Linked DNA regions of Rhinolophus ferrumequinum. The protein of the gene in region 1 interacts with the protein of each later gene in a pairwise test. Links are inferred from orthologs where the notes say so. Each region holds a gene or a part of one and is shown in the gene's direction. Other genes may lie near its edges.

Evidence for each region. The genes of interacting proteins can lie anywhere in the genome.
Region 2: the proteins of RFESD (region 1) and HBQ1 interact in binary tests that used the Homo sapiens proteins (3 or more experiments, as listed by UniProt). The two-hybrid records come from large-scale screens. The link is inferred for Rhinolophus ferrumequinum from reciprocal best matches to the Homo sapiens genes RFESD and HBQ1.

What each region holds. Positions count from the first base shown.
Region 1 is NC_046290.1:63,520,084-63,527,931, forward strand, and holds the start of RFESD (Rieske domain-containing protein), read left to right. Parts: upstream 1-4,837; 5' UTR 4,838-4,963; intron 4,964-7,477; 5' UTR 7,478-7,570; coding exon 7,571-7,659; intron 7,660-7,848.
Region 2 is NW_022680357.1:2,231,515-2,237,953, forward strand, and holds HBQ1 (hemoglobin subunit theta-1), read left to right. Parts: upstream 1-3,939; 5' UTR 3,940-4,228; coding exon 4,229-4,323; intron 4,324-4,430; coding exon 4,431-4,635; intron 4,636-4,756; coding exon 4,757-4,885; 3' UTR 4,886-5,929; downstream 5,930-6,439. Other genes in the region: hemoglobin subunit alpha, read left to right, coding at 1,425-1,519, 1,770-1,974, 2,115-2,243.

The sequences.
Region 1 (7,848 bases):
GCAGCCGAGGATAAATGCAAGTCCCAGTGTGATGGGAGCAGGGGAGGGAGAGGGAGAGAGGCTGTCTTTAAAAAAAATATATATAAAATAATAAATTTAAAATTAGGTATGAAAGTGAATATTTATTTAGAGTTGGCAAATGACTACAAAAAAAATAAATATTTTAAAAACTTACATAATAAACATTCATTAATTGCCATTCATTCGTTACTTTGCAACCCTTTTCACCTAGTTTTCGTCTAACTACTCTTTAGTCCTCCTTTCATCTGATAACAATTTGATGATAATATTTTATATAAAGAGAATAGAAAGATAATTCAATCTTTCCTATAGTATAATTATTTTTTAATTGACAAGAAGTATAAAAAAACTGTTTGTAGTACTAATACAGGTTTGTATGTTTATAGACAAAGGAATTTGATAAATTCTCTTCCATATGATTCCCATCAAGAAAGACATAGGGTACAGTTATAGTTTACGTGCGGTATTACTGAGCATGTCTCATGTGTATAAAAGATGACCATGTGAATACATTACTAAGGTCCTTCAGGACCTTGGAAAGGGCCCATGTATGTGAGGGGACTTAAAGCTTCAGTTTAATGAACTTCACTATCTCTAATTTCAGCAAATATTATTCTACCCAGTACTGTCTGAAAGGCCAATGTACCAAAAGACATTGTTCCTGTAATTCAGTCCTTGCCTTAGCTACGCCTGCTTCCCAAGGTCTCTTTGGCCTCCCTACCTCTGCTGAGACCCAATGTAGTAGAACGAATATGTTCTGAATGTTGGTCCAGGTCAAGCAGCAGCTGTCTGCCCCGTGAGGCCCACATCACCTAAGCGCCTCTAGGCTGTGTCTTTGCAGGCCCCACACACCACTGTGCATATTTGCTAAGCCTGGCTTGGTATTGATACCAGGGTTTTTGCTTGGGCCTCCGTACAGATTACTTGGTGTTCACTGACCCCACTCCCCAATCAATCTCCACTTATAGCCAGTGTGTATCATTTGCTTAACGCCCAAGACCTGGAGTTCTACCTGGAAGATAAAGTCAGGAGTGAGCAAGAAATCTTAACATTTACTATTAAAATCTCCAATCTTTACTCCCGCCCTCCGTCTTTTTTTTTTTTTTTGGATGCTCTGCTCAGCCTCTTCCTTCTCCTTTCATCTGTGTGCCTGCAGAGAGGGTACAATCTGGTCCATCCTCCCAAGATGACAGCTCTAAAGGTAGCAGTGGGGATAGATACATTTAATCAGGAGACTGTTAGCAAGCTCATTTGGCTGCACATTTAAGCCACTCCAATCTAGATTTTTATTATTAAATAAAGATTATACTGTGATCGCTTCCTGCTTGGTTCCAAACTCAGGCAGGAAGGAAAGGTGTTGTTTATTGGGCCCTCTCAAAGTCCAACACAAATAAAAGATGATGGCACCTTCCAGATTGGTGACAACATATAAATAAAGAAGCAGAGAAATTTGAAATACACTTGAGAAAGTAAAATTGATATGCCTCAGTGCTGGATTAGACATGGTGGGGATACCATGGGGGTCCCTAAGACCACATCATGTCTGGGGGTTCACTGGAACTCATAGAACTCTTGATATAGTTCTTCTGATGTTAAGATTACTACAGTGATATAAAGCTACACAGCTAGATCATATGGAAAAAGGACATAGGTGGAATATGGAAGAATCCACGTGAAGGCTTCCTATCCTCTCACCCTCTCAGGAGGAGCCACATAGAGCTCATTCTTCCTCCAGCAATAAACTATGTGCAATATTTCCACCCAAGGAAGCCTATTAGATACTCAGCACCTAAGGTTTTTATTGAGGGGTGGTCACCTAGTCACCTCTGCCTAAGATGTTCCAGACTCCCAGAAGAAAAGGAGGTTGTGGTCACATAAGCCATATTGTTTGTACAAACAATATAGTCACCCCTATTATTTAGGGGAAGTCTTTTTACAGTGTAGGGAAGTGTTTACTAGCCAGTTCCCAGAAGCCAGCCAAGGGCCAACCTTGTAAGCAGAGCTTTTTAAGGATAACAATCTCAGGTCAGCTATGTTGTCTTTTCTGCACAGGAAGAGTGAGGAAAAGGGAGATGTAAGTATGACATCCAGGTTTCCACCTTAAGCACGTATATGTCACTTATGGAGATGGAGGAGACAAAGGAAGTATAGGCTTAGGGGAGAAAATTATTCCAGTTTTGAATACATAGAATTGGAGATAGCTATGTATGAGATATCCAGTTAAATATACTGTGTTGCAATCATAAACCTTAAAATTTAAGTGGCTTAATACAACAAAAGTTTATTTCTCACTTAAGTTACATGTCTTTTATGGCTTGGTGGAAGTCGTTGTGTTGGGGGAGGGGGTGGGTGGTCTGTTCCACACAGTCACTCAGGGACCAAGGTTAGTGCAGGCTCCACCATCTAGAATATCAACTGTGACAGAAAAAGAGATGACTGGAGAGGTCTCATACCAGCTCTTCTATGCTTCAGTCTAGGAGTGAAACACTGCATTTTCACCCACAGCCCATTAGCCAAAACTAGTAACATAGCCTCAACCAACTGTAGGTGGGGCTGGGAAATGTGGGATAGTAGATGGGATGTTTGGTGAACACCACTGTTTCTACCACAGTATCCAGGTAAGAATATCAGGTAGGTAGCCCAAACAAATGAATGTTGTGGAGACTCACTAGGAGTCATAAGCAAATAGGTAGTATTTAAAACCACCCTCAGTTTCTCATGATCTGAACCCCAATGTCCTAAGAAGGACAATGGTGTCACCCTTTCTGGTTTGAAGAAATAGGAAATCCTATTTTGTGGATATTCTTCAAACCTCCCCGTAGTGAAACTTGTAACACACACACGGATGTTTTCACTAGTTCACAAGACAAGACTTTGGCTTAGGATTGAAGGCAGTTTTTGAACCTCTCGGAAAGGAAGGACTTGGTCCCAGAAAAGCCTGCCTAGAAACATCCTGATGCTCAGAGCAGAGGAGCAGGGATCACCAAGGTGAGAAGGGACATTTGAAACTATATATACTGAAGGGCAAGATCAGAGAGGAAAAGCTAGTGTTTTCAGTGGTAGGTAACAAAACTCACGCCAGAGCTACCACTAGGTGTCACTAGTAGGAAATAAAAGGATGAAAGGAGGAAGCAAGTACCCCCAATGGTCTATCAGGTACAACTTTGTGGGAGCTGTGCCCACACTGGCTGGAATTGTGGTATTGCAAAAAAAAAAAAAAAAAAAATGAGGGTAGGAGTAATGAATTTTTTTCTGAACCATAATGACTTTCAAATGCACTTTATGGGTTCCTGCTTTTGACTCAGGTGCATGCCTGGGCCTGGTGCTTTTGTGTGTCTCAGAAGTGGAGAAAGGTAGTTTATTCTGCCTCCCACCACAGCTTTCCAAACATTTTATACTTTTACATGACTAACCACATCAATACTTTAGATGGAGATAAAAAGAACGTTACCATTTCTCTTTCTTCTTGTGTATATATGTGTGCATATCTACTGAGATCTTCAGTTTATTCAAAATCAGATTTAAGGTCTGTGGATCTAAGATATGTCTTATTTTAATGCCTAGTTTATGCCAAAGCAAAAAATAAGAACTTTTCATTGAAATGGCAAACCTTATTTAGTCCTTTAATGATACAAACTAAGAACTGCTAGCATCCTCCATGTGCCAATAAAATAACTTGGGATTGTGAACAGATAACGTGAATTACAAATCCAAATATATATTATTATTACTTTGGCAAAGCGATTCTTCAAAACTAGATGATTAATTTGTGCTTGGATCAAAAGGGAAATTATCCCATAAAATATGATTATCACCCTAAAACTATTCTAAACAAAACAGAAATCAGAAGAAACTGGCATTGGAGGCAAATCCACTATTCTGGGCTTCTCAATCTTTTACATGTTTTGGCTCATAGAAAAAATGGCACCCTAGGGTAAATGGACAAGGTTCCTGGGTTTCAGCTGCCCCAGGCCCAACAGGCCACTCAAGGATATGAGATCAGTACGTCAGGATATTAAATATACATTGTAGTTTTCAACCTTGAGATCACACTGGAATTACTTGGAAAGTTACAAAAAATCTCTCCACCTCCACCCCCACCCAAGATTTTTACTTCATCGGTCTGGACATCAGGACTTTTTAATACCCTCAGGTGACTGACTCTAAGGCATAGCCAGAGTTAAGAACCACTGCATCAGAAGACAGTCAAGGAAATTTAAAAAAAAAAAAGTCTATCAGACTCATCTATTAATAGCTTCCCGTTTTGAACACAAGTGTGAGGCTTTCTTTCTAAAAAAAAATTGAGGGAAGTATAAAGAGAAAAAACAAAAGTTTGCAAAATTCAAAATATGAAAGCGAAAATCCTTCATCACTAGTCCAAGCAACTACTGTTTTTTTAAGAAAAAGATTATTCACATACCTTTATATTTGTATCTTGAGAAGTAATTTTTTACACTAAAGAGAGCACACACTACACATATTCTATAGTTACAAGTAATCCACATGTCTATGCTGTACTTCATGTAACCCTTCCTCTGTTGATCACTTTAGCTATTCTCATTCTTTCTTGCAATAAACCTCTTTATACGTAGATTACATGCATTGTGAGCAACTTTTGCAATTTTTATACGGTAAATTCTTAGAAGTGAGACCGCTTGGTGGATTTAAAATATGGATAAACGTGAGATCAACAAACATTTACGAATAGATGCCACCTACAATCATTCATCACCCCTAAGACTCGCTCCCAGCCGAGCGCGTTCGCTCAGAGGCGGCTGTCAGGTGCGGCCCCCCGGGGCGGACGCTCTGGGGTCACGTGGGCGGCTTCGCCCCGCCTCCCGGAGCTTCGGCGTGGCGGCGGCAGCGGTGGCTCACGCAGTAGCACCACGCGGGGTTCGCAGCGGGCCGCACTCACCGAGGCGGAGCGAGGGACTCGGGAAAGGTAAGCTCTGTTCTCGCCGCGGGGTTGGGCGGCCGGGCGCGGGGCGGGGCTGGCGAGGCCGCTGCTTCCGGCCGGGCGGCGGGCCTGGGCTCAGACTTCCGGCGCTGGCGGCAGCTGCGGCTGCAGCCTACAGCTGCTGAGGGTGGCCGTCCTATGGCCTTTGCCCTCGGCCCATCGGAGCACCGCGGCCCTCGCGGGCCTTGGTCCCGCGTCTTAGCCGTTAATGCCCGGGGCAGGCTTCCGCCCAGTCACAGGGAGGCCCTCTGAGCGTGTTCATCTTAGAGTCTGGGCCGCACCCCCGACCTGCCGCCTCGGTGTGGCAGGCGGGCCCGTTCTAACCAGCTTTCCTGGCATTTGCGAGCTCTGATGCATAAAAACTGCTTCAGGGTCTTTACAGCCCTAGGTATTCGTCTTCTGAAGGGTGCAGGTGTAACGCGCCACGTCTGAACAGCCCCGCTCATTCGATCTCTGGTTATTGAGCACCCCCGATCCAACAGCTGCAGACCGGCTTGACTAAAATGTGAAACCCAGTTTGAAGTCGTGCCCATAAACTGTCAGAGCTGGAAGGGCCTTAGCGAAGACAGCTAACATGATTGTGCGTTTCCCACGGAAAAGCCCTTCTCTAAACAGCCGACCTATAGTGAAGCCGTAATGCTTCACAGCCTGAAGTAGCAGGCCTTTCCTGCTGCAGCACAGCAAAGTACAGACACTTGCCCCAAAGCGCCCAGAGACGGCTCAAACCCAGGTGACTTCACCTGGTGATCACAGATCTCTAACATCACAGACAATGGTAGTAGATTCCAGAAGGGCTATGGGACTTCATTAAATTTCTGGGGAAATAGCCCGTTTTAAATTTTTTGACATGACACTTGAACATTAGCGTTCCTAAATTTAAAAAAATTGAGGACCATCATCTTTGGGGACATATATGGTGAGATACACACATACACATAACACAACATCTTTACTTTGCTCAAAGGTTCGGTACCGTCAAGATAGTTTACTTGCAGGCCATGCATTTTTATAAATCCATGGATGCTACTTAGATAAAATGTTACGTTTTATATACCAATGTTCACAAATTTAGACTCATAGATCTGGGTTGGAATCTTGACTGCTACTTTGTGAGTTTGTGCAAGCTTTTGTTAAAAAGGGTCCTTTATCCCTAGTTTCTTCATGTGGAAAATAGGTATATTACCCCTTGGGGTTTTGTGAAGAGTAATGAACTCATGCAGAGAGTCCAAGCAGTTGGCACTCACTGAAAATAGCTAGTTTTATCTACTATCATTATGCCATCCAAAGAAAAGCTACAAAACCACTGTGTTTCCCCGAAAATAAGACCTAGCCGGTCCATTAGCTCTAATATGTCTTTTGAGCAAAAAATTAATATAAGACCTGGTCTTATTTTAATATAAGACCTGATATAATATAATATAATATAATATAATATAATATAATATAATATAATATAATATAAATAATACAATGCAATACAATATAATACCGGGTCTTATATTAATTTTTCCTCCAATAGATGCATTAGAGCTGATGGTCTGGCTAGGTCTTATTTTCGGGGAAACACAGTAAGGCATTTCTCTTCTCTGAACCCAAAAGCAACGGTAATACCCTGGAGCTATGCATTCTGATAATAAGTAGGCCAAGTCACCAGACTTAGTAAAAGCACCTTAGTCAGTGCTCAAGAGGAATAGCAAGTAAGTTCCTTTAATTTCATGTCTCTTTTGTCTCCAGTGTCTTAGGGAAACTTAATTATGTTCTTTTAAAAATTCAACCTGAATGGATTTCCTATGCTGGAAAGGTATCTAATAGACACTGAGGATCCATTTAGCTAATTTGTAATTTTATGGGGTGTTAACACCTTTAAAAACCCAATTTTAGGCACAGGCCAAAATATATTTCTTGAAGAGAGCTGTGAACAAGTTCTAAATTTTTCAGAAGTTTTCTCCGTCTAGCCCACAAACTGGTTAAGCTGTTTAATTTTTCACTTTCTTTTTATTCAGTTAAGATTCTACTATCTTAAAGTGAATTGAAAATAGAGGAAGTATCAGGGAGCGTATGAATAGCACATCAAAACAGTAATTAAGGGGAACACATTGACTCTTATTGTTGTCTGAATGGACCATGATATTGACAATATTTAATTAAGAAGTTATAGTTACCATATATAAATAAATAGAATCATTTATGATGTATAGAAGGAACAAGTATTTGAAGGATGAGATAATACTTTCCTACGCAAAATGAAAGACTGTAATTATAGTTCTCTGAAACATTTATCATTTAGCCCCAGCTTTCTCTGCTCATTTCTTATCAGCCCCTGTACAGTTTTCCTTGGTTGAAGGCAAACCCTGCAAAGACTATGTTCTAAGAGACTGAAACGTTGAGGGAGGAATTTGTTTGGTTCTCATTTATTTGGGAGTCAGGGAGAACTTTAACTTTTGACGCTATTCCACATCTCATGTATTTTGTTGCTTGATACTAGTATTTATTTTCTAGTTTTTGCCTGGAAAAAGAAAAGAGAACTACACATTTCCTCCTGTAGTGCCAAGTTTTGAAATAAGCAGTACAGAATTCTCAAGTAGTCCATTCATGATCTATGCACAGGCATATTCTCTGAAGATAGTGCCATTTGACCCTCTTTTTCTTGGATTTTGGATCATTTGCTACATAATGACAAGGTAGGATACAACTTAAATATTGAAAAAGTAATTTTAAATGTATGACTAAATGTAATACTTTGAGACATTTAATAAATTTTGTGTTTCTATCCCTTTGCTTTTCTTTATAAATTTACTCTATATACATGTATCCATGAATAATATATTGTTTGGTTTTGCCTGTTTTTTCACTTGATAAAAATGGAAGCG
Region 2 (6,439 bases), on another chromosome or scaffold:
AGAGAAGGGCATATCAACGACTTCTCACTCCCTTTCTCCTCCCCCCAGTTAGGATGTTTAACCTAGTCAGTACCCCTCTCCCACCACTAGACCAAGGGACCATCACTTGTCACCAGTAAGGGGGCGGCATCAGCAGGAATTGCGGCCCCTTCTCACTGTTTCACCGGAAGCCCATCCCTTCCCCCACTCCTGCAGGGTCTAGCCAGACACATCACCCCATCTCCCCACATTCATTCTGCAGCCACAGAGGCCTCCTCTCCCTGTGCCCCTCTGCAAGCCGACTGGGCGGCTCCCCCTCCACCCTACTCCACCTAATACTTATTCATCCTCCAGTTTCACCTCCTCAGGGAACCCCACCGGTGATCTTCAGACTAACCCTGATATCCTGGAATGCCTCATCTACTTCCTTCATTCTTCCTTGGGGCCCCTAATGAGGGTTGAGAATATAAGTACTTGTATGAAGCTTTGATAACTCTGTCCCTAACTAGGCTGAAATCTCAGCTCTGGTTCAGCAGTTGCTTTATTGATCAATGCAACCCCTACTTACCTAGTGAGTGTTGTGTCAGGCATAATTTGGGGGATGGACTGTCATTGTGACCCAGGACCACTTGCTCAGTGGGGGGGAGAGACAGTCATTCAGACAATCAATCACACAGGAGAGGGACCCCGGTGAGTTCCCGAGATGGGGTTGCAGGACCCGAACTCTGGAAGAAGCCTGAGTGTGCATTGTACTCCCGAGACCCTGGCACTCAATGACACTCCATGATTATTGGTGGAAGAAAAGGGGGCTGGAAGAACCAAGACTGAAGGGGAACAGGAGGGATTCCAAACAGGAATTCTTGAGAATACGTGAGCGAGGACCTCCTATCTCTAACCCCGGACTAGGTGAGGCCTTCTTCCTTCCTGCCCTCCGTTGTCCATTCACTCACTTTTTCTACCCAAATTAAAACACGTCAAGCGTGTACCAAGCCTAGGTCCAGGGTAGATTCCCAGGAGAGCCCAGCCTGTGGCTAAGGAAGCTCAGGGACCCTAAAAGGGTGTCATTGAGTTCAAGTGGTGGAAGAGCCACCAGCATCGACCCACCTCTACAAACCGCCCCCCCACCAGCGAGGGGGCGAGAATATCACTCCCGGGGGAGGTGGAGGCACCGGGCGAGAAGCGGTCGTTGGGAGAAAGAAATATCCAGACCCGCAGACACCCGGTGCCTCCGCGACCTGGGAGCGACGCCCCCACCGCTCCAGCCAGAGGCAGACACGGCGCCGGGCGCCCCCTTCAGTCGGGGTCAAGCCCAGCACCCCCGGCTCCGTGCCAACCAATGAGCGCGGCCGGGGCGGGCGTGCCCCTCCGGCCTCAGGCATAAAGGCTCCGCGCACTCCCCGGCCCCCACCCTTCTGGTCCTAACACAGACTCAGGAAGAATCCACCATGGTGCTTTCCCCCAGCGACAAAAGCAACGTCAAGGCCGCCTGGGATAAGGTCGGCGGCAATGCTGGCGAGTATGGCGCTGAGGCCCTGGAGAGGTGAGGACCTCCCTTCCCTGCTGTGCCCGCGGGGCTCGACGGCCGCCTGGTCGCGGGCCTGCCAGCAGCTCCTCGGTGGGCTCCGACCCAGCTGGCGCCCACGTCCCCAAGACCTCAGGGTCCAGACTGCGGACCTGCCCGAAGAGGCGCGCCAGCGCCCTCATCCGAATGCCAGGCTCAGGACCCTGCCCTGGACCCCACCCCGACCCCCACGCCCACCCCCGCTCACACTCTTCCTCCACCCCCGCAGGATGTTCCTGAGCTTCCCCACCACCAAGACCTACTTCCCCCACTTCGACCTGTCCCACGGCTCCGCCCAGATTAAGGGCCACGGCAAGAAGGTGGGCGACGCTCTGACCAAAGCCGTGGGCAGCATTGACGACCTGGCCGGCGCCCTGTCCGCTCTGAGCGACCTGCACGCCCACAAGCTGCGTGTGGACCCCGTCAACTTCAAGGTGAGCGCGGGCCGGGCCGCCAGAGATCCGCGCGGAGGGCTCAGCGCGCCCTCCAGGCGCGCAGACAACCCCGCGGGGTGCAGGCGGGGGAGCGCGGGCGGCCGCGCCCCGACGCCCCCTGACACCGCCTCTCTCCGCAGCTCCTGAGCCACTGCCTGCTGGTGACTCTGGCCTGCCACAACCCCGGCGAGTTCACCCCTGCTATCCACGCCTCCCTGGACAAGTTCCTGGCCTCCGTGAGCACCGTGCTGACCTCCAAGTACCGTTAAGCTGGAGCCGCGTTCATCCCTGCCCCGACTCAGGGCCCCTCTGCGCTCTGCGCACCCGCAATTCCTGATCTTTGAATAAAGTCTGAGTGGACTGCAGCCTGTGTGGCCTGGGTTCTCTGTGTCCGCGAACTTGCCGGGGTGGGGGTGGCTCTGCGTGCCTCGCACCGAGGGCCTCTTCGCAGTCAGCGAAGAGAGGGAAGGGCATACATGGGTACAAAGGGAGTGGAGCCAGTCCCGCTGCCACTGCCTGGGGTTCGCTGGGCAGCCCTCTGCTCTCACCACGGAGGGCTTTGCTGCATACATTCCGACTCCTCCTCTATTTCATTTCCCAGCCTTTGCTAGTCAACACTAGTTTGCTCAAATAATGCGTTCATGTGCCGTCTTTACATTTCACCGGGCACACACTTGCTCTGAGAGTTAGCAGGCCTCCAGCCTAGGACCTCTGAGCTCTTCCAGGGCTCCTCTTCGAGTTGGATGGTGGGGAGGACACGGGGTTCCACTCCTTCAGAGTCACACTGAGTGCTCCCTTCTCCATCAAGTGCCTCCCAAATACACACGCGATGAAATTCGGTCCTGGCACCCCTTTCACCTGAGGCCACCTCAGGATGCTCACCCTGCAGACATTGACATCCTGGGAGCATCGCAGTTCTGGAGGCCCATTCTGGGGCGCAGCTTGGCATCCACTGCACCGCCCACAGGCTGGCACCTCTGAGGTCCACTGATGCCTCCAGTGTCACAGCGAGAACAGGACCAGGACCAGGAAGCCTGCACTCCAATGAGTTTCCTCCCCACAGAATAGGCGGCTTCAGAGTGAGGGCTCCTGGTGTCCAGTTCTGGCTGCAGTCCAGCCCCAAGCCTCCAACTGAGAGCAGTGTCCTTTCTTCCCTGGGCCCCAGGGGTCTTTGGAAAATGACATAGCAAGTCTCCTGCCTCCGTTTGTGATGCTTTTAGCACAGCTGGTGGCACAGTCTCAGATCTTAGTAAGAGGTAATCATCTTTATTTTATTATTAGGAAAAATGAGGGCCTGGGCTAAAAGTGGAAACAATCCACATGTCCCGAAACTGATGAATGGCAAAGAAAATGTGGCCCATCCAGACAATGGAATGTCATTGGGCCATAAAAAGCGCTGGAGTATTGACACATGATACAAAATGGTTAAACCTGGAAAATGTGCTAAGTGAAAGAAGCCAGACACAAAAGATCATATATTGCATGATTCTATTTATACGAAATGTCCAGAACAGGCAAATCCACAGATTGGTGGTTGCCAGGGGCTGGAGAAGAGGGATTAGAGAGTGACTGCTAATAGATACAGGGTTTCTATGTGGGATGATGAAAAAGTTCTGGAACTGGATACTCCTAATGGTTGCATAACACTGTGAATATAATTAAAGACAGTGAATTGTACACTTTAAAATGGCTGAGATGGCAAATTTTACCACAATAACAACAATAAAGGTGTAGGTTGGTGCCCGGCAGGGAATGAGTGCCACATAGGTATTCGCTGTTATTATTAGGATACATCCTAGGCACCCAGTAAAGGTTCCTTGCCCTGAACGGGACATCCGCTATGAGCGAGGCACTTGGCATTTAATCCGCACATCAACCTTGCGAAGAAATTATATTTATTTTATCCAATAAATGAGAAAATACTCAGAGAGGTGTCAGAACAGACTCCGGAGGGGGATAGAATAAACTGATGTGCCATGCCAAAATCCATGCTAAAATTCAGTACTACCTAATAATATGTACAAGTTAAATACTAGTTTCCATATAGTAACCACTACAAAAATGGGAGGTTGGGGGTCCAGGGCGATCGCGAAGGTCCAGGCCAGAGCAGACAGACGCAGGTCCAGGTTGGACATTCCCGGACCCCAAAGGAACCAGACTCCGCGGCGTGGCGCCCCCGGTGGCCGCAGAGACCCGCGGCCGATTGGCTCGGGCGTAGCACGCTGAGCGTGCGCGGCTGGCCCCGGGCTCCACGATGGTGCTGTCGGCTGCAGACAAGGCGACAGTGCGCGCGCTGTGGAAGAAACTGGGTAACAACGTCGGCGTGTACGCGACCGAGGCCCTGGAGAGGTGCGGACAGACCTCGGCTTTCTCCGGGCTCACCTGCCTTCCCGCCCGCCGCGGAGATGCGTCCCCACCCCTGGGGCGCCGCACCTCAGTCTCGGTTCCTTCCGCAGGACCTTCCTGGCCTTCCCCTCCACCAAGACTTACTTCTTCCACCTGGACCTGAGCCCCGGCTCCGCGCAGGTCAAAGCCCACGGCAAGAAGGTCGCCGACGCACTGACTCTGGCCGTGGACCACATGGACGACTTGCCCCGAGCCCTGTCGGCTCTGAGCGACCTGCACGCGCATAAGCTGCGAGTGGACCCGGTCAACTTCAAGGTGAGCGCGCGGGCCGGCTGTGGACCCGCTCGCCGGCGGAGGGGGTAGTTCCCACCAGGGAAGGGTGTGGGGGAGGGGCAGACGGACCACGGGTGGAAACGACCTCCTCCTCCCTCCGCAGCTGCTGACCCACTGCCTGCAGGTGACCCTCGCCCGGCACTTCCCTGGAGATTTCAGCCCCACCCTGCAGGCCTCGCTGGACAAGTTTCTGAGCGACGTGGTTTTGGCGCTGGCCTCCAGCTATCACTAAACTGAGGATGGGTGGTCGCAGGACCCCTCAGCCGCCCCTTCCCGCCACGTTCCAGTGTTTGAGTAAAGTCCCCGAAAGAAACCTGAGCCTGTGGAATGCGTGTGTTCCCTGGGAGGGCGCGCCCCGGGGCCTGACAGGGCCTGGGGGTAGAGGTCCTGCCCCACCGAAGGGGAGGGTGGGGATCTGGAGAGGCCTGAGCCGCACTTTCCGCCAGGGCCAGATCCCGGCGCGCCCCTGGCTCGCGTTCATCGGACGCCCTGGGCAGCCGAGTGAAGATTCTGGTCGTCCCCAACCCGGGCGGCCGAGGCGAGTTACGCAGTGGGTCCCAAATGCTACGTCGTAACTCCGATCCACCGTGCCCTTGACGGCGGCCACTTGGAGGCGCAGACCCGCAGCTTCCGCCCCTCCGGAGTGGGGTACCAGGTAGGGGTCATGCGCTTGCCCCCGCTGGCAAGGCCAGGGCCCTCCCCAGGGCTGCTTGCTTGGGTCGACTCCTCTCAGATGCAGGTACGCGGGACCTGGTCCTTCACCCACCTAAAACCGAAGGCGGCATGCAGGGCGCAGCCTCTGAGAAAATGGGGGAGCGGCGCCCCCTGCCGGCCTCGATCAGACCTGCGCAGAGCCCAACCCGCACAACCCGACACCGCGGCTCTAGAAGGGAAGGGTATTGGGGATTTTAGGGATCAGGGAAGACTGAGGGGAAGCGCGCGTTTGCCAGACTCTGGACCTGGTGGAAGGAGGTGGGTCCTGCCCAGTCACAGAGCAAAGTGGACCAGGGAGCCAGCCCAGAGCCCTGCCTACACCCATACTTCCAAGGAGACAGACCTCAGAGCTGCTTTCTTTTTAAAAATTTTCCTCATAAACTCAATCATGGTCACTGTGGAGACTTCAGAAAATGCAGTGACTACCCGATTTACTATACCTTCTTGTGTATTTCAGTGGCTCCATTATTCCTTCAATTCCCACTTGACACGTGGGAACAAATGTGTGAACAAATGGAGCATAGATATGGGAGATCCAAGAGCAAACGTGTGACACACACACACACACCCCGGCAGAAACAGCCCCACTCAGACGTGTCACAAGGTCATGTTTAACGTACAGCCAGGCTTTCAGGTCCTTCTAGGCACATCTGGAAATATTTTTCTTACGAAATGGTATCCTCAAAGTGACACTGGAAAAAGATACACAGGACTCTCTATAAAGAGATACTTGGTACGTGGAGAGAAAAAAAAGCAAATTTAAAAGAGAAACTGGGAGAAAAATAATTGCCATAAACAGCAAAGAAAGGGTTATCATAGACCTCCAAATTCTTTTTTCTCAGCCCATCTACCTTTTTCTTTTAAAAATCAAGTCAACCCTTGGGCTGCTGTGAGCTGTGCCCTCGTAAAAAAAAAAAAGAAGGGGGTGGCAGAGGGTGGCCGGTTAGCTCAGTTGGTTACAGCAGGTGCTAATAACACCAAGGTTGCCAGTTTGATCCCTGTATGGCTGCTGTGAGCTGCACCCTCCCTAAAAAATAAAAATATAAAAAATAATGAATAAAAATCAGTCAAC